Linked DNA regions of Sus scrofa. The protein of the gene in region 2 interacts with the protein of the main gene of each other region in a pairwise test. Links are inferred from orthologs where the notes say so. Each region holds a gene or a part of one and is shown on either strand. Other genes may lie near its edges.

Region 1 (3,154 bases), on a different chromosome or scaffold from region 2:
AAGTTTAACACCAGGTAAAGGGGGTAGGGGAGCCCCCAGCTCCGGAAAGTCACAGACAGGTATCATAGAAAACACAGCTTGTGTGGATTTGTTTAAAAAGTGGTGGATGGAAGGAAAGCCAAGGAAGACGTGACGTAGCTGTGGCCAGACGTCACCTGAGGACTTCACTGGCATCTACCAGATGCCAGGTTCCACCACCGCAGCATCCCAGGACACAACACGCCCAGTGGCTCTGCCCTTTGGACCCTCCCGCAGAGCCTCCTGACTGGGGAAGAGTTGGGGCAGAGGCTGCCACCAAAGGCTGGGCCATTTCACCCTGTGGGCAGAGGCAGCGGGCACAGACAGGCAGACAGGAACCCTGGGGGTGGGGAGGGGAAATGAACCCAAGTCCTCCACCCAGACTTTAGTCCTTCCAGACGTGGGCAGAGAGCCCACGTCCCCAAGGAAAACGGCCCTGGTGGGGGTGGGGGGGGAGCGGGCAGGGAGTTCTGTTCACACTGGAGTCTCCTGGCTGCCCCAAGCTGGGCCCTGAGACCCTCTATGGTCTGTTTTGGGGAAGGGGGGTTCCTGAACGGGACACAGGTTGGGCACAGGGACAGGAAGGGACCCAACCAGGACGAGATCACAGTTTCCCTTTTTATAAAACGGCTAGTGTTGGGGGGAAGACGGTGAATACCTAAATCACGACTGTAAACAGGAATGGAGGAAGGGGCGTGGAGGCCCCATTACATCAGCCGCCCTCTCTTTCCAGCCGGCTCAGGGCCCCCAGTCCCCAGCACAGCGTGAGAGCAGAAGCAGGGTGTCAGACACCTTTGGGGGCCCACGGGGAGCCGGGGGCCTTGGGAGATCAGGTTGGTGCCCCCCGCCCCAGGACCAAGCGCAGCCACACCCCAGGGCTCAGCGAGATCCGCTGGGTGCTCCCCAGACTGGAGTCATGACCGGGCCGATAAGGGGCATATGGGAAGGGGTCAGACCAGTGTCCCCGGGGTCTGGGGGTCGGAACCGGAGGACGGCTCCCCCTCTAGCGTCAGGTCACTTAAACGAGCGCTCAGCTCCGGGGGGTACAGGAAGTCCGCGTAGTATCTTTAGGAGGGGTAGCAGGAATCCGGAGGACAGGGTGGGAAGACAGAGGACAGAGGAAAAGACGGACAAGACACAGAAAGAGAGAGGAAAAGAGGCTCGTTAAAGAGGTGGAGGCAGGCACAGGACAGCATCTTTAAGGCTCGCAAGCATGGGGCACGGTGAAAAGAGAAGAGAAAGGCGAGGGCACGGGACGTCCCTTCCTCCCAGCACCCTGATGCCAAGGCTCACTTGCAGCTGACATGCACTGGTAGTTCAGACCTTCACATTCCCATATTGCCTGGTGAAGAACTGCTGCTACCAAGGCCCAACACACCCCTCGGCCGAGACCCCGCAGACTAATGCAGGTCGGGCAAGGCCCAGTGAGCCCGGGGCGAGGGCCGCGGCCAGTTCTCCCCAGGGCTGTGTCACTCGCTAGCCGGGACAAGCTGCTCCCTAGCCTGGACCCTCTGGCCACCTGCCTCAAGAGACCCCCTACCCATCAGTAAAAGCACCCCCCGTACCTGCCGGAGACAGGGGGCGCCGTGAAACTCCTCGAGTGCGGGAGCGGCGCCTGGCTGGGGGCCCCATACAGCGCCTGGCCCACCTCATAGCAGCGGGCATGGAGGAAGGACGGGTGCTGCGGGACCATGTGGGGGAGCCCAGGCCGGCGCTGGGGCCCCGAGGCCAGTCCCGAGTTCCGGATGTACCAGTCCCGCAGCCCCTCCAGGGCAAGGTTCTTGTGGCCGCTGCGCTCGCCAGCTGGGGGGATGCGGGCAGGTGGGGGCATCCACATCAGAGGGTTGGGATGCACCTCTGGCCCCTCGGTGGCCTCCAGGGGCAGGCCACAGGGCTTGGCGCGGGGGGCACGGCCGTGGGGGTCCTTGCTGCGGAGGAGGGGGCTGCTGCCGTCAGCTGCGTACACAGGCGGTGGGCCGGGGAGCATGGCGAGGAGCCCATCCCGGCGGGAGAGGGGTCCTGGGACATCGGCTGCAGGCAGCAGCTCCCCCCAGCCTGTCCCGCCGCCGCCACCACGGGGCAGACCCCGGTCCAGGGAATAGTCCAACAGGAAGTCCCCACACACGGGTGGGAGCCGGGGAGCCCCACGGGAGGCGGGGGCGGCCGAGCTGGGCCGGGCAGCCCGAGGAGGGTCTGGGGGACCAGCGGTGCGAGAGGAGAAGGCCGGGGTTGGTTGGGGGCGCTCATACAGCACCTCACTGCTCTTGCAGACCGGGGGACCGGCGGCAGGGGGAACCAGAGGCGCAGGAGGGGAGCCAGCTCCCGCACCAGCTGCCCGGTCCACCAGCAGGGCCTCAGAGCTATTGCTGCGGCGGGTTCGAGCTGCGAAGAGGGAGGCGCGGTCGGAGACAGGGTCTGCCCGGGGGAAGCCCATCTGGGAGTCCTGGCTGCCGGACCACTGGCGAGAATGCAGGCCTTCAGGTCTGGGGGCACAAGGGGTGGTGATGGGAGAAGGGTCAGAAATGACAGGCAGATGGGATGAGTGCCCTCCCTACCCCGCCTCTCTCTTTTTTTTAATTAAAAAAATTTTTTTTTTGCTTTTTAGGGCCGCACCTATGGCATATGGAGGTTCCCAGGCGAGGGGTCCAGTTGGAGCTAAGCTGCCAGCCTACGCCACAGCCACAGCAATGCAGGAGCCGAGCCACATCTGTGACCTACACCACAGCTCACAGCAAGGGCAGATCCTTAACCCACTGAGCGAAGCCAAGGATAGAACCCGTGACCTCATAGTTCCTAGTTGGATTCATTTCCGCTGTGCCACGACAGGAACTCCTACTGGCCCCCCACCCCCGAGCCTTCACTTCCACACCCTCAAAAAGGGCCCCAGATGGATTCAAAAGCGTGTGTATAAAGGTGTCAGGTGGGGGCATTTAAAGGGCGGCAGAGGATCTGCCCGGGACTGGGGGGCAGAGGGGCTGAAAATGTATGGGGGTGCTTGGGACTGTTAGCTTGGAGATGAAAGTGTGTGCAGGGCTGGGGCAGGGGGTGCAGGGTTGAGGACTTTTTCTACACATCTGACCCCTCATTCCCTGCTAAGGGGCTTCTCAGGGCTCCCCGCCTCCTCTAGGATGAGGTC
Region 2 (3,943 bases):
GGTGCCAGTGCAAGGAGTGGGGCCCATTTCCCTACAGAGTGGGGCCCATTTCCAAGATGGAAAAGAAAAATATATTTTAAAAAATGTTTGCCTACCCCCTACCCCCTGCCTCTGGCAAATATCAATCTGTTCTCTGTATCTGCATGTTCAATTCTTAAACTTTTTTTTCTAGGGCTGCACCCGTGGCATATGGAGGTTCCCAGGCTAGGGGTCTAATCAGAGCTGTAGCTACCGGCCTACACAACAACTTGGGATTTGAACCCCGTCTGTGACCTACATCACAGCTCACGACAACTTAACCCAATGAGAGAGGCCAGGGATTGAACCTGAAACCTCATGGTTCCTCGTCAGATTCATTAATCACTGAGCCATGACAGGAACTCCAATTTTTTAATTTTTTAAAAATTTTAATTTATTATTATTACTATTATTATTGGCCACACCTGCAGCATGCAGAAGTTCCTTTCCCAGGCCAGGGATCAAACCCTTGCCACAGTAATAACCAGAGCCATGCAGTGGCAATGCCAAATCCTTAACTCACTGAGCCATCAGGGAACTCCAATTTTGCTTTATTTTATTTTATTATTTCATTTCATTTATTTTATTTTATTTTATTCCTTTTATTTTTTGGCTGGCCTGCGGCATATGGAGCTCCTGGGCCAGGGATCAAATCTGAGATGCAGTTGAGACCTATGACACACTTGCAGCGATGACAAATCCTTTAACCCACATGAGCTGGGGATCAAATGTATGTCCTCATGCTGCAGGAGATGCCATCAATCCCTTTGCACCATAGCAGAAACTCCTTCTTTAGACTCCACATATAAGTGAGATCATACAGTGTTTATCTTTTTTTTTTTTTTTTTTTTTTTTGCCTTTTTAGGGCTGCACCTGAGGCATATGGAGGTTCCCAGGCTGGAGTCAAATTGAAGGTGTAGCCACTGGCCTACGCCACAGCCATAGCCAAACCAGATCCAAGCCACATCTGCAAACTACACCATAGTTCATGGACACACTGGATCCTTAACTAACCGAGCAAAGCCAGGGATCAAACCTGCATCCTCATGGATACTAGTCAGACTTACTTCTGCTGAGCTACAACAGGAACTCCCTTTCTTTTCTTTTTTGGGTGCTCTATGGCATATGGAGTTCCCAGGCCAGAAATCAGATCCAAGCTGCAGTTGTGACCTAAGCTACAGCTTCAGCAATGCCAGATCCTTAACCCACTGTGCCAGGCTGGTAATTGAACCTGTGTCCCAGTGCTCCCAAGAGGTCGCCATAGTTGTGACACAGTAGAAACTCCTCATTGTGTTTTTTTGTTTGTTCATTTGTTTGTTTGTCTTTTTAGGGCTGTACCCACAGCATATGGAAGCTCGAATTGGAGCTGCAGCTGCAGGCCTACACCACAGCCACAGCAACACGGGATCCAAGCCGTGTATGTGACCTACACCACAGCTCACGGCAATGCTGTATCCTTAATCCCCTGAGTGAGGCCAGGAGTCAAACCCACATCCTCATGGATATTAGTTGGGTTCGTTACCCTTGAACCATGACAGGAACTCCCCACATGGTGGTTTTGATTTGCATTTCCCTGAGACTTAGCGATATTAAGCATCTTTTCACATACCTGTTGGCTATCTGTATATCTAAAAAAAGGGAAGTCTTAAGTGGCTGAGTGAGTTGCCCAAGGTTGTATAGTGAGGGATTTGGTAGGATGAGTATCTGGGGTCCTGCCTTCCAGCCAGGGCTCTTGCCACTGCCCTAGGAACAGATCTTAGGTAAGAATGCTAGAGCCCCCAGGCCTGACACCCCCCTTTCCCATACAGGTCCAGGAGCTGCAGGATTCCCTGCTGAGGCTGGAGCCCTTCTCATCGCCCTCTGGTGACCAAGCAGGTGGCTCTAGAAGTGGTTCCAGCAGCTCTGGGGCTGACAGGGAGACCTGGGACACTCAGGTGAGTGTGGGAAGCTGAAAACCATGATCTTAAGATGCTTAGGGTTTAGGCCATGGGACTCAGTTCCTGGTCATGGATCCAATAGCTTGTGAGGTTGGAAAAGCCCTAAAGCCATGATGCTGGGCTCTTGGTGACAATCTGGGTGAATCCAGCCACCTTCTGGAGTTCCCTGGTGGTGCAGTGGGTTAAGGATCTGGTGTTATCAGTGCTGTGGCACTGGTTGGATCTCTGGCATGGAAACTTCCATATGCTGTTGGCACCTCCAAAAAAAAAAAAGAGAGAGAGATTGATTCACACAGGAGTGTATTTTTTTAAAAAATTCACCTCCTTCTGCCTTCTGGCAGGATCCTTTCTCCCCAGCTCATCCCCTGCTTCGGCGCCTCCAGAGTGATTCCAGCACCCAGATGCTTGAACCGCTTGCCCCTGAGATGCACATCGTGGAAGCCCAGATGGAGCAGCTGCGAGGGTAAGAGCCACAAATGCTGAGCTCGTAAGGGCACTGGTGCCTCCCAGCTGGAAGAGGAGTCTCCAGGAGTCTGGAGCTGGAGGGGGAGGGAGGGTGGAAGTCAATCAGGTCCTAACTGTCCTTCAAGGCATCTCACTTTCCTTCTTTTCCACTTCGGGAGGCAGGAACATTGAAAAGCTCAAATGCTTCAACCGTCTGCTGTCGGCTGTGCTCCAGGAGTACAAGGGCCGGTGTGAGGGCCTCAGCATGCAGCTGGGCCAGCTGGAGGCTGAGGCCACTGCGCTGCATCTAGCCTTGCAGTATAGGTCAGTGCACCCCACCCATGATGTCACTGACTGGGAAGGAAATGGGCATCCTCAAAGGATGGCCCTCGTCCCTAGAGAGAGGCAGGGACCTCACACGTCCCTAGAGAGAGGCAGGGCCCTCACAGAAAAGTACTTTTCCCTTACCAGGGAACTTAACTTCAGGCGATTTTAGTCCAAGAGGGCTGGAGGAGCAGTTCCCATCCTACCCCCAGCCTGGGAACTTCCATATGCCGTGGGTGCAGCCTTAAAAAGGCTGGAGGAGTTTATGAACTCCCAGGTGTGGGGGAGGGGAGGAGAAGTGAGGGGGTCCCAGAGCAAGTGGGGATGTCACCGACACAGCAAGATGGGTGTCCTGGAGTGCTTAGAGCTCATGTCCCACAGTGAACACTGTGAGGAGGCGTATGGAGCCCTGCTCACTCTCCGGGAGGCAGATTCCAGAGCAGGAGAGAAAGCCCTCACGAGTGACTTGGAGGCAGCTGAAAAGGAAGCTCAGAGGCTGCTGATGCAAGAGAAGGCTGCCATGGATGGAGGGACACTTCAGGCTCCACATCCAAGGTACCCAAGGGAACCCTGGGTACCGGGTGAGCCAATGAGTGAGGTTCTGATTGGAGAACTGGGCTCCCAGAATCAGTCCCACACTGGGAAGTTCCATGGCTCTTATGGTTGGCATGAAACCTGACTGGTGTTGGCTGGTTGCTACTCAACAAAGTTGGGGTGATGGTGACACCCACTGGGGTTGGTTTAGGACGCATCAGAGTTGGCATGATGATGATGGATGATGGTGCCCATGGATTAGAACTGGCATGATGGTACTTAGTGGGGTTGGCTTGATGTTGGTATCCACTGGAGTTGGCATGATGCTGCCTAGCAGGGTCGGCAAGTTGTGTGATGGTGCCCATTGGGTTGACATGATGGCATCTACCACGATGGCATGAGTGACTGTACCCATTGGCATGATAGTGTTCATCCATCATTCATCACTGATAGATGATTTTGATCATTGAGGTTTACAGTGTGGTACCCACCATATTGGTTTGACCATGCCCACCACAGATGGCATAGGAAGGACCCATCACAGTCAATAGGATGGAAGACAATGGAGCCCACCAGTGCTGACATAGGATCCTCTTCTGTTTCCTGTAGCCGCGAGGGCAACAGTGTGGATAAGCCCACACTGCAGGAGGTGGCTACCCAGCTCCAAGGCTATGTTCAGCGTCTCC
Region 3 (3,432 bases), on a different chromosome or scaffold from region 2:
ATAGACACACAGCTACCGATCTCATGGGGACACATAAAGACCAATTTCGAATAACAACCTTCTTTCTCGTATTTAGTTATATTTTATTTGTTGATCGTAATATAGCTACATTGTCAGGACTGGAAAAAAAAAGTGGAAAGAAAAAGAAATCACTGCTCTTTCGCCCACTTAATCACTTCTTCTGTCTCTTAAAAACATGCAGCACTTAACTGACAGAACATGTAAATCAACTAAGATAAAAAAATTTTTTTTAAAAAAGTACACCTCTAACCTTAAAAAAAAAAAAAAGGGAAAAAACATGCAGCACACTTTAAAGTGAAATGCTGTGATTATGTATTTCTCCCTCAGGTGTATCACATTTCCAGAAACACGTGGTTCAAAATGGAGACGAGAATGATCAAGAACGTCTGTGCCCCCGCCGTGGTGCTGGGGGAGCGGATCGTCATCGTGGGAGGTGAGTTTGAACAGAGGATGGAGAGCGGACACCAACGTGGCATCTCCCACGGAAAAAGCGTCGCGGATAGACAGATGCTGTTCTCTGGGACAGTTTTTTTTTTTTTTTAAAGCACACCCAGCCAATCAGGGGGGGTATGGACAGCTTAACAAAGCTCTCTCCTCATCCAGAAATTTCTCTATTTATCTGCAAACAAGGAATAAAATCATACCTATTTCATAGAGTTGCGAGCATAAAATAGTGCTCACATCTCTAAACCTCTCAGCACGATCCCAGACCCGGCGCAAACAGTCAAAAAACATTTGCTGTTGTAAATAAGATTAGCTGCTTAGGGATCATTTCTCGGTAACTGCAGTATAATGTTAGGGTTACGAGGGCTGGTTGGTGGGGTGGTCAGATGGACGTGGGTTCAAATCCTGACTCTGCCACTAACTGGCTCTATATTCTGAGGCAAGTTATTAACCTCTTTGTGCATCTTTTTGCTGACTTGCACAATGTGGCTCCTAAAAGTACCCACCAGATAGGGCTGTTGTGGGGACTCACTTTTGAGTTCCCAAAAGCACCTTCATTGGACTGTTAAAACTCTTGGATGAGCGTATTTAGGAATTTAGGAATAACATACACACACTACTATATATAAAATAGATACACAACAAAGACCTGTATAGCACAGGGAACTATACTTAATATTTTGTGTAACTGAATGTAATTGAACCACTTTGCTGCATACCCGAAACAAATATATTGTAAATCAACCATACAATAATTAAAAAAAAAAATCAAAAGCTAACAAGGCTGAGAAGGCCCATGGCATCTCTGCTCTCTACGATGTAGAGGCTAGGGTCAGACGGATCTGGGTCCAAACCCCGGCTCTGCCATACACGAGACCTTGGGCGGGTTCATGAAACATTCCACGCTTCAGTTGAGAGTCCAGCCTCAGAGGTAGGTGCTGGCAGAGGTCGGACAGGTCTCCCGGCCGCTCGTCTCCAGTTCCAAATGAGTATCGCTGACCTGGTTGATATGCCACTTGGCTTTCAGGTTACACGCGGAGGATCCTTGCTTACGACCCCCAGTCCAACAAATTCGTCAAATGTGCGGACATGAAAGACCGGAGGATGCACCACGGGGCGGCGGTGATGGGGAAGAAGCTCTACGTGACGGGAGGGCGGCGGCTGACCACGGACTGCAGCATCGAGGACCTGGCCTCCTTTGACTGCTACGACCCCGAGACAGACACCTGGACGTCCCAGGGCCAGCTGCCACACAAGCTCTTTGACCACGCCTGCCTCACTCTCCAATGCATCCCCCACTCTGTCACGGTCCCCTCAGGCCCATGAGAAACTGAGAAGCCACCTGGCTTAGTCGAGATGCTCTTATGGCAAGAGACAGAACCCGATTCCAAGAGCTTAACTCTGAAAGGGTGCAGGGAGAGCTCTCAGGACTGAAAGTTCTAGAGCCTGGAGGCCTGAGACCAAGCCTACTGTTCACAGAACTCTCTGTCTCTGTATCTCTTGTCTGTCTTTCCTCTCTCCCTTCCTCCCTCCCTCCCTCCTTCTCTACCTCATTGCCATTAGGGTTTATTCTGCAAACAAGCTTCTTTAGCCTCTTCATCCAGTGTGAGGAAATGTGACAGAAAGTCTAGCAATCTGGCACCTTTAGGAAAGAACTTTACTCTTATCCATAGAAACGCCCCCTCCCCAAAACAATGCCGATTGGTTCTTTTTGAATTCCCTGTCTCCCGCAATACTTCCAGAGACTGTAGACTGTGCTTCCCGAGACTGTGCAAGTGAGCTTGACCTGGATCCTGTCTCCACAGGCAGAGGTGGGGTTAACGACTGTCGCTGATAAAACTGCCAGACTGCACCTAATGGGACAGAAGTGGTTCCCCAAAGCAAGAAATGCCGGGCCGATAAGAACCACATCTGCCCAGAGAGCATGGCCATTAGGAACAAGAGGGTGAAGACACCCAAAGGGGTCCCTGGAAGCATCTGGTCCAGGCGGCAGAAAGAGCAACTGGCTGAGCCCATGTTCCTCTACCTTCTAGAACGTAGCGCATTGGAACTCCAGGAGAGTATGCGAACCTCAGTTGCTAGTGTTTGCAAAAGTATCTGCACCACTGGAATAAAGTTTGTTTCTGATGCCAAATGATGTTTTTCTCCAGCCTCCAGCGAGCTATAAACCTGCAGAATTAATCACGATTTTCATTTTGGTAAATGTTACGAGAATTGCTTTCCTGAGGAAAGCCAACAAATTCTTTCAGAGATTACAGCCCTTCCAATGCCAGGGCTGACTTTCCCCGTGGCCCTCTTTATCTCACAGTGCCTCCCACACTAGCTCGGTCCCAAACTCAGGAATCAGTTGAAGCTAGGGGCACACTACAATCACCTGGGAAGACGTTTGAAAATGGGGCGGAGCCCAAATCAAGATGGACAGACAGGGATTCCCAGAGGCGGGGCCAGGGCTCCGCATTGTTGAAAAGCATCCCAGTTCATTGCAATGACTGGCAGTCAGGTGGAGAACCACCACCCTTCTCAGCACTGGAGACCGTCCTGTGCTGGTCTCTTCCCCATCCTATCTCCCCAGACCTGCCCCAGCCCAGGGTAGGTAGAGTCCCCTCCCGACCAATGGAAGCCTCTGGGATGCGTCTTGCTGCCCTGAGCCAGGCACCAGAGTGCCCCCAAGCTGAAGCCTTCCACCCCGGCCAGCTCTCCAGGTCCATGTTCTGGACTTTTCCTTTCTTCCTAGTTTGTATTTTTTTTTTTTTTTCACTTTTTCTCCCACTGGGGTCTGAAGCTCTGCTCAGCTCCCCAGACCACCTGGCTGTGATCCAGACACCCTCCCCAGACAGTCAGCCCCCACTGCTCATCCTCCACGCTGTCCCCAGAGCGTCTGGCTGGCCTAACTCCAACCTCTTCTCTTTGAACCTCCCCATTTCAGGCTCTCAATCCCACCCCTCCCTGAAACTGTACTTGTAATGC
Region 4 (3,943 bases), on a different chromosome or scaffold from region 2:
AGTTGGAGGCTGGGTTGAGGTGGGTCGAGGAGAAGAATGGAGATGAGGAAGCTGCAGCAGGAAGTGTAGACAACTCCGTTTTCCTGGGAGTGGCCGTGGTGGCTCAGCAGGTTAAGACCGCAACTAATCCACGAGCATGTGGGTTCCATCCCTGGCCTCGCTCAGTGGGTTAAGGATCTGGCGTTGCTGTGAGCTGTGTGGTGTAGGCTGCAGACATGGCTCAGGTCCTGTGTGGCTGTGGCTGTGGTGGAGGCTGGCAGCTACAACTCCGATTCCACCCCTGGCCTGGGAACTTCCATATTCTGCACCTGCAGTCCTAAAAAAGAAAAAAAAGTTTTCCTGTGGCAAAGGGGCTGTGAGGCCAGCCCTAGAGGGGCCACATGTGAGTGGACATGTCCCCTCAGACCTGCCAAGTGGGGTGTCCCTGCCCCTCCTGCTTCTCAGGCCAGACCCACCTGCCTTCAGCGAGCTCCTGCTTGTGCCAGGCCCGGTACTAAGTACATGACATGAATTATCTTAGTCTTCCTCACAAGCTTCATTTCACAAGGAGCCTGAGGCTCTAGGCAGCGAAATGGCTTCCCAAGGTCACAGCCAGGAAGTGGTTCAAGACCCTGGGGCCCATCCCCCCGATCCAGTCAGCTTTGGGAGCCCAGGCTGGAGGCTGGGCTGGTGCTGCCTTTTCCCCTGGAAGGGGCTGAGCTGACAGGGCCCTGGACACCTCCCTTCTCTCTCCCCGCAGCGGTTCCTTGGGGACTACGGCCTGCAGTGGGTGGGTGAGCCCGTGGACCAAGAGGACTCTGAGGATAACGAGAGGGACTGGATGACAGCCAAGAAGTTCTGGAAGCCAGGTAGAGTCAGGGTCTACCCCAGCGCCCCCTGCAAAGGGATTTGTCCAGCAGCTTCTGATGGTGCCCAGCTGTCCAGAGGCCATCTCATTCACGCCCCTCCTCCCAGCACGAGGAGGTGCCCCGAGGCCTCCCACGCTTTGCCACTGACACAGGGACAGGAGGGAAAGGCCTCAGCTTTCATCACTGAGCACCTAACCTAGACTCTGTTTGCTCACCTTTCTAAGGCTCCGGGGACCCAGAGATACAAGATGTAACAAGATCTCATTTGTCTCAGGCACCACAGTTCACAGAACATCCCCCCTCCCAAAGCTGTGGCCTTTGAAAGCAGTCCCTCTGCTTTGGAAGTGTCCTGTGGTCCCAGGGCTTGGCCTCCTCTTCGGACTCTTTTTCCAGGTTCCCTTACAGCAAACTATTGAAATCTACCTGCTTTTATGGGACGCCATCCCCTTTTATTCCTAAGTCGAGTGCTGATATCCAGAGGGATGCACTCCAGAGATTTGGGCCCATAGAACTGGCCCCTTCTGAAAGCCGGGTCCATTCTCCACAAAGAATGGAGGTCATTGCCCTGAAGGTTCTTCTCTGGGCTCTGGAGATGGTCACGGCTGGGTCCTCATTGCCACTCTACCCCCAGGCGTGACTTGACTCGGGTTCTGTTCTCTGAGCCTCCAGGTCCTCTCCAATAGATGGGGGTGTGTTCTCGCCCACGCTGGGCTGGACGCAGCACCTCCCGCTGACCTTGCATGCCTTCAGCCCCACGAGTGGGAGCTCTCATTGGTCTCCACAGTCAGAGGCAGTGACAGTCCCGTGGGAACATGAGCGTGGCTCCCGGGCTGACTCTTTGGAAGATGATGGCACTCTCTTGGTTTCACAAGTTTCCAGCAGGGTAAAAACCGAAACCGAAAACATGGGAGTCCCACCTTTGGCCGGATCCCCCTAAATCTCCAGGCACAACCCTCTCATCCTTGTTCCAAAAACATTACTTCCCATTTGGACCACACTTAACTTCCTTTAAAGCATTTTCATAAATAGTCTTGACATGAGCTGGGGTTATTCCATTTTACAGATGTGGAAACTGAGGCACTTAAGACGTCCGAAGCCTGTTGAGTGGAGGGGGCAAGGCTTAAGGCTGAGAGCCCATTGGGAGGTGGTTACAATCATCTGGGCAGAAGATGAGATGATGCCCAGCATAGGGTGATACTGGTGGGGCTGGTGAGCAGGGGCAGAGCAGAGAGATTTATTGGAGATCGCTTGTTCATTAGGGAGGGGGCAGGAGGAACCTGGGCTGACCCTGGGGAGCACGAGTGGGGGGACGATGCTGAGTCCACTTGGGACATAGCAAAGCTGGGGGAGCTTGGTGGCACCTGGGTCATGCCCGGAGCTGAACCCTGGGCTGAGTCCTATGGGAAGTTCTCCAGGGACACCTGCCCAGATGAGAGGCCAGACCCTGGCAGGTGACTGCCAGAAGCTGTAAGAATGTCTGTTCCTGGGCTCTAGGGCCAAAGGCCTGCCAGCACTGCCCCTCCCCTCCCCTCCTTGTCCCTGAGCTGGGCTCAGGCCTCCTTGTTGGAGGAGAGTCATCCTCTTGGCCGGAGGGGGCTGCCCTGCCCCTTTGGGGAAGGAGTCAGACCAGACAGCTGCTTTCTGGTCCTGGCTCTGTGGATTCCTACCCTCTCCCTCCAAAACAGAGCAGCCCCCCTCCCCCCGGCTCTGTGCTTTACACACAGAGTACGGCCAGCTCAGAAGCCACTTGTAAAAGCCACCCAGCCACAAGCTCCCTCTGTGTGTCGTCTTCCTTCTTTTGCTTTTTGATTCTTCCACACGGAGGGACCTTGATTTCACTCTCCTACCCGATGAACAACATGTTTTTCACTTCCAGCAGCTTTTCCTCCTGGAACCCTCCCACGCTCTTCCCTTCCTTTCCCCATGGCCTGGTCCCCAGCTGCTAGACTGCTCCCGCCCCAAGGACCCTTGGGCCCATGGAGGTAGCCTCTGGCTGGCCCTGATGCTCTGGCTCCTTTCTTTGGCTCTCCCTCTGTTGGGTACCACTTCCCACAGGCCCTGGGGCAGCAGGCCAGGGGATAGGTGAGCTGGGGCGTCTGTATTGGGCAAACTGGGGCTGATTCTAATGTTCTGGAGCCCGGGAGTCCTATCTTAAGGAGGAGGCCCCTGCAGGGGCCCAGGGGAGAGGAAGCTCAGCCCCTCCCACCCTTCCACCAGCGGGGTGAACATCAAATCGGGTGCCGGGTGCCAGGTGCCTCAGGGTACACGCAGACCTGAAAGGGCGGCTCTGCTCTGGCCATGCTACTTTCAGGTCAGATGTTGCTCTGGCCATACCACTTTCAAGTCAGGTGTCGAGCCTCAAGGCTGAAAGCTCCTGCCAACTTTGAGCTCCTGACCCCTCTTCCCCATCCTCTCTGACCTCCTCACCTCCCTTCCCCCATCCCCTCTGTGCTTCCCTCCCCTCCCCCATCAAGTTCCTGCCCTCCTTCTCCATCACCCTCCCCTGAGTCCCCCCACCTCCCCCAGCCCTTTCCCCCAGGCCCAGGCTCCTGCCTCTTCCTTCCACTGCTCAGGATGCTACCCTGACCCCTCTGTGGGCTGTAGCTGGCTTCACTTGTCCCTGGGCTGCCCTTGAGCCCCTGGGACTGGCCTGGCCTGGACCCCTGGCAGGATTAGCTCCTTCCAGCTGCATTCCCATTAGCTCCAGCCTGTGCTGTGTCCCCTGGGTGCCTTGTCCCCTTTCCTCCCCTCCTTTGGAGCTCAGCTAAACCCGACTTGCTGCAGCTGCCCCGGGCGCGTGGTTAGGGGCTCTGGCTGAGGAGTGGGGCCTGGTCAGATCGGACCCTGCACCGTGTGTGGAGAAATTGCTTCACCTCTGAGTCCACATCCTTATCTGCGATGTGAGGAGATGCTATCTTTGATCCCTAGGCACTGAGAGCACTGAATGCCCCAGCATATGTGGAATGTTCTCGCCGGCTGTGTGGTCAGTCAATAGTGACCATGTCCATTTGCTTCTTGGCGCCTCCTGTGCTCGAGTGCCCGGCACAGGGCTTGACCCAGAGGCCAGCGCACGTGCACAGGCAGGTGATTGGCGG
Region 5 (3,943 bases), on a different chromosome or scaffold from region 2:
CATGTTATCCCAGATGCCAAGATCTCCTTCTCGTATGTGGCTGAATAATGATATTCCTCTGTGTGTGTGTGTGTGTAGATCTACACATTTCTTTGTCCATTGATCCACTGATGGACACTAAGATTGTTTCCCTGTCTTGGCTGTTGTAAATAATGCTGCATTAAACATGGAGGTGCAGATATTTTTTCAAAATAGTGACTTGAGTTCCTTTGTGGCACAGCGGGTTAGGTATCTGGTATTGTCACTGCAGTGGCCCGGAGTTGCTGCTGTGGTATGGGTTCAATCCCTGGCCCAGAAACTTTCTCATGCTGCAGGTATGGCCAAAACAATAAAATAAAAAAAAAATAGTGGTTTCATTTCTTTGGATAAATACTCAGGAGTAGAATTTCTGGACCATATGGTAGTTCTGTTTTTAATTTTTTAAGTAATCTCTACCTTTAATGGAAGGTTTTCTGTGGTAGTTGCACTAATTTAGATTCCCACCAACAATAGGACTAAGGGTTCTGTTCTCCCCACATCCTCTCCAACACTTATCTCTTGTCTTTCTGATGATGGTTTTAACTGGTGCAGTGGTCTTTTTTTTTTATGATTTTTATTTTTTCCATTATAGTTGGTTTACAGTGTACAATTTCTACTGTACAGCAAAGTGACCCAGTCAAACATACGTATATGTACATTTTTTTTCTGACGTTATCCTCCACCATGTTCCATCGCGAGTGACTAGATACAGTCCTCTTCTAGACAGCAGGATCTCCTTGCTCATCCATTCCAAAGGCAGCAGTTACAGTGCAGTGGTTTCGATTTGCATTTCCCTGATGATTAGCAATACTGAGTACCTTTTCATGTGTTTTTGGCTATTTGTGTATCTTTGGAGAATTGTCTATTCAGTTCCTGGTGTCAACTAAAATCATCTCAAATAAATTATATCTTCCCTGGGAAATGAATAAACCTGCTTATTTTGGCATATTGCTAGTTTTGAAAGATTTGTTCTATTTTGTATGAAAGAATAGCATATAATTAGAAAAAATAGATAATCTTGATGTTAATTGGTTTTCTAAAATAATCATAGGCTATTTTTATTCGTAGCAATGATTAGAAATAATACTTAGGAGGTATTAAAATTTTACAGACTAGTCAGTTCACATGTGGATTCTTTGTTTTATTGGAATGTAGTTTTTCAGTATTCTGTTATCTGCTTTAATCAGCTATTATCTGACAGGTCCTGGAGTTGTTAATTCACAGAGATGGGGAATTTCAAGAACTAATGAAATTAGCACTTAATCAGGGGAAAATTCATCATGAAATGCAACTTTTAGAAAAAGAAGTAGAAAAGAGAGACAGTGATATTCAGCAACTACAAAAACAGCTAAAGGAAGCAGAACAGATACTGGTAAGTGGGTAAAGACTGTTTCTTTTTTTTTTTTTTTTTGTCTTTTTTTTTTTTTTTTTTGCCATTTCTTGGGCCACTCCTGTGGCATATGGAGGTTCCCAGGCTAGGGGTCGAATTGGAGCTGTAAGCTGCCAGCCTACGCCAGAGCCACAGCAACGCAGGATCCGAGCCGCGTCTGTGACCTACACCACAGCTCACGGCAACGCCGGAACCTTGACCCACTGAGCAAGGGCAGGGATCGAACCCGCAACCTCATGGTTCCTAGTCGGATTCATTAACCACTGCGCCACGAAGGGAACTCCGAGACTGTTTCTTAATGGAAAAAGGGGTATTACTTACTCTCTGAAAAATAAATCTTTTATCAGTATTTTGAAGTGGTAGAAAAACTTGAATTTCCAAGTCTAAAAGTGACAACTACTTTCAGAGAGTCTCTGTTACGTATTACTTTTTCATTATTTTCATTATTTAGTTATTTAAAGATTTCTTAAGATTAAATTAATAGAAATGAGAAGTTTTATTTGTATCTTGTCCTGATGTAAATTTTCATTTATTAATATTGTAAATCTTTACTTCAATTTTAGAAATATCTTGAAATCAGTAAAAATACATACCAGTTTTGTAACTTGATTAAAATTAACATCAGTTTATTTATTTTAGTCTTCCATCCCAAACTGAATGGAATTTGGATTTATGTCAAGGACTCCAGTTTTTCCATTCTTGTTCTTGGCTACTATTTCAAAGAGACAGTTAATTTGCTATTATTTGCTCAGTTTTTTTTTTTTTTTACTAAATACTAACTAATGCAATTGTTATTTGGTGATATTGCATGAAGAGTGGAGCTTGATTCTCATATGGACCAGACATTGCTGGCTATTCTCTAGATTAGATCTTCAAAAGTGTTGTTATTGAGTTAAAGACTGAACACAAAGACCATAAAAGACTGAATTTTGTGTTTTAGATAATAGCAACTAACATTTATTAAGAGCACTTGTGCACCAGGGCCTGTGCTTTTGCATTTTTATTTGTATTATCTCAATCTTCTTAACAATTACATGAGGTCAGTATCATTACTCTGTTTCACAGAAGGAGAAATTATGATTTTAAATGAATACCTACCTTGCCCAAGAGGGTAAAAGTAGAGAGATGGAACTTAAACCTAGATCTCTCTGACTCCATACCCCCCCCTTTTTTAGGGCTACACCCACAGTATGTGGAGGTTCCCAGGCTAGGGGTTGAATCAGAGCTATAGCTGCCGGCCTACACTACAGCTCACGGCAATGCTGGATCCTTAACCCACTGAGCGAGGCCAGGGATCGCACCCGCAACCTCATGGTTTATAGTCGGATTTGTTCCCACTGCGCCACAACGGGAACTCCTCTGACTCCATACTCTTACCCACTGTGTCATAGTGCTAAGTTAACTTCATTTTACCCTTAGTTAGCCTTTGCCCAGGGGTTGGTGGGTGAAGGAGTTCACTATTAGTCATTAAGTATGGAGGTAAGGTAACATATAAATGAATGAGACGATCAGTCCAAGAATGTATCTTGTAAACTAGGGAAAAAAGTGTCTTTGGTACTGGTCGCAAGAATAGGGTGCTTTGGAGGTGGTACGTGGTCTGTTTTCTGCATGCTTATGGTAGAAGACAAAGGAAAAATGGTATTAAACAATCTAATTTACATTTTGTTTCTAACCACTAGTTTGTGAATGGAGACTACCTCATGAGTATAATGTTTATTTTTTTTTTCTCTTGACTATATAACTTAGGTAAATGCTATCCAAGTGGTGTTTCATAAATGACAAGGAATTCCTGTTGTGGCTCAGGGCGTTAAGAACCCAGCTAGTATCCTTGAGGATGCGGGTTTGATCCCTGGCCTTGCTCAGTGGGTTATGGATCCTGCACTGATGGGAGCTGCGGCATAGGTCTCAGACGCGGCTCCCATCTGGTGTGGTTGTGGCTGTGGTGTAGGCCCGCAGCTCCAACTCCAGTTCAACCCCTAGCCTGAGAACTTCCATATGCTGATGGTGTGGCCATAAAAAGGAAAAAAAAAGACAAATTGTGGGGCTTTCCCAAATTTTGCGTATTGTTCCTCTGTGATAAATGGTTTTGTGAATTAAGCCAAAAACTGGGCTTGGTATAGTCTTGAATAATCCATATTTCTTTTTTTAATGTTTAATTAATTAGGCAACAGCTGTTTACCAAGCAAAAGAGAAACTCAAGTCAATAGAAAAAGCAAGAAAAGGTTAGTATGGTGGGAACACTGAATGACTTTCTGAAAAATCCAAGAGACTGACTCTGAGAGTGTTACTGGTAATCATCTGCTGCTGTTGAAAAAGCTTCAGTAAATTCTCACTGTGAAGTGCCTCCTGTGTCACAGTGCTGTGCTGGGCATTGCTAGGGAACCCCTTCCTGTTGTAAGAAGCAATAATGCAGGTTATGGCTATTACCCAAATGTGCACTAGAGACAATGGGTTTTTTAAATTTTGGGGAGAAAATATGGGCTGGAAGCAAATGGGATTTGAGTTGGATCTTGAAAGACAGGACAGAGAATGAAA

Evidence for each region.
Region 1: the proteins of USHBP1 (region 2) and CCDC120 interact in binary tests that used the Homo sapiens proteins (3 or more experiments, as listed by UniProt). The two-hybrid records come from large-scale screens. The link is inferred for Sus scrofa from reciprocal best matches to the Homo sapiens genes USHBP1 and CCDC120.
Region 3: the proteins of USHBP1 (region 2) and KLHL38 interact in binary tests that used the Homo sapiens proteins (3 or more experiments, as listed by UniProt). The two-hybrid records come from large-scale screens. The link is inferred for Sus scrofa from reciprocal best matches to the Homo sapiens genes USHBP1 and KLHL38.
Region 4: the proteins of USHBP1 (region 2) and UBXN11 interact in binary tests that used the Homo sapiens proteins (3 or more experiments, as listed by UniProt). The two-hybrid records come from large-scale screens. The link is inferred for Sus scrofa from reciprocal best matches to the Homo sapiens genes USHBP1 and UBXN11.
Region 5: the proteins of USHBP1 (region 2) and MED4 interact in binary tests that used the Homo sapiens proteins (3 or more experiments, as listed by UniProt). The two-hybrid records come from large-scale screens. The link is inferred for Sus scrofa from reciprocal best matches to the Homo sapiens genes USHBP1 and MED4.

What each region holds. Positions count from the first base shown.
Region 1 is NC_010461.5:43,143,540-43,146,693, reverse strand, and holds the end of CCDC120 (coiled-coil domain-containing protein 120), read right to left. Parts: intron 2,502-3,154; coding exon 1,584-2,501; coding exon of another isoform or gene 1,562-1,583; exon of another isoform or gene 1,084-1,561; coding exon 969-1,083; 3' UTR 831-968; downstream 1-830. UniProt on the Homo sapiens protein: Centriolar protein required for centriole subdistal appendage assembly and microtubule anchoring in interphase cells. Together with CCDC68, cooperate with subdistal appendage components ODF2, NIN and CEP170 for hierarchical subdistal appendage assembly.
Region 2 is NC_010444.4:60,414,445-60,418,387, forward strand, and holds part of USHBP1 (Usher syndrome type-1C protein-binding protein 1), read left to right. Parts: intron 1-1,826; coding exon 1,827-1,952; intron 1,953-2,296; coding exon 2,297-2,418; intron 2,419-2,582; coding exon 2,583-2,723; intron 2,724-3,104; coding exon 3,105-3,278; intron 3,279-3,866; coding exon 3,867-3,943.
Region 3 is NC_010446.5:15,798,872-15,802,303, forward strand, and holds the end of KLHL38 (kelch-like protein 38), read left to right. Parts: intron 1-348; coding exon 349-454; intron 455-1,492; coding exon 1,493-1,791; 3' UTR 1,792-2,602; downstream 2,603-3,432.
Region 4 is NC_010448.4:83,697,186-83,701,128, reverse strand, and holds part of UBXN11 (UBX domain-containing protein 11), read left to right. Parts: intron 1-739; coding exon 740-848; intron 849-3,943. UniProt on the Homo sapiens protein: May be involved in the reorganization of actin cytoskeleton mediated by RND1, RND2 and RND3. Promotes RHOA activation mediated by GNA12 and GNA13.
Region 5 is NC_010453.5:19,558,245-19,562,187, forward strand, and holds part of MED4 (mediator of RNA polymerase II transcription subunit 4), read left to right. Parts: intron 1-1,219; coding exon 1,220-1,390; intron 1,391-3,572; coding exon 3,573-3,630; intron 3,631-3,943. UniProt on the Homo sapiens protein: Component of the Mediator complex, a coactivator involved in the regulated transcription of nearly all RNA polymerase II-dependent genes.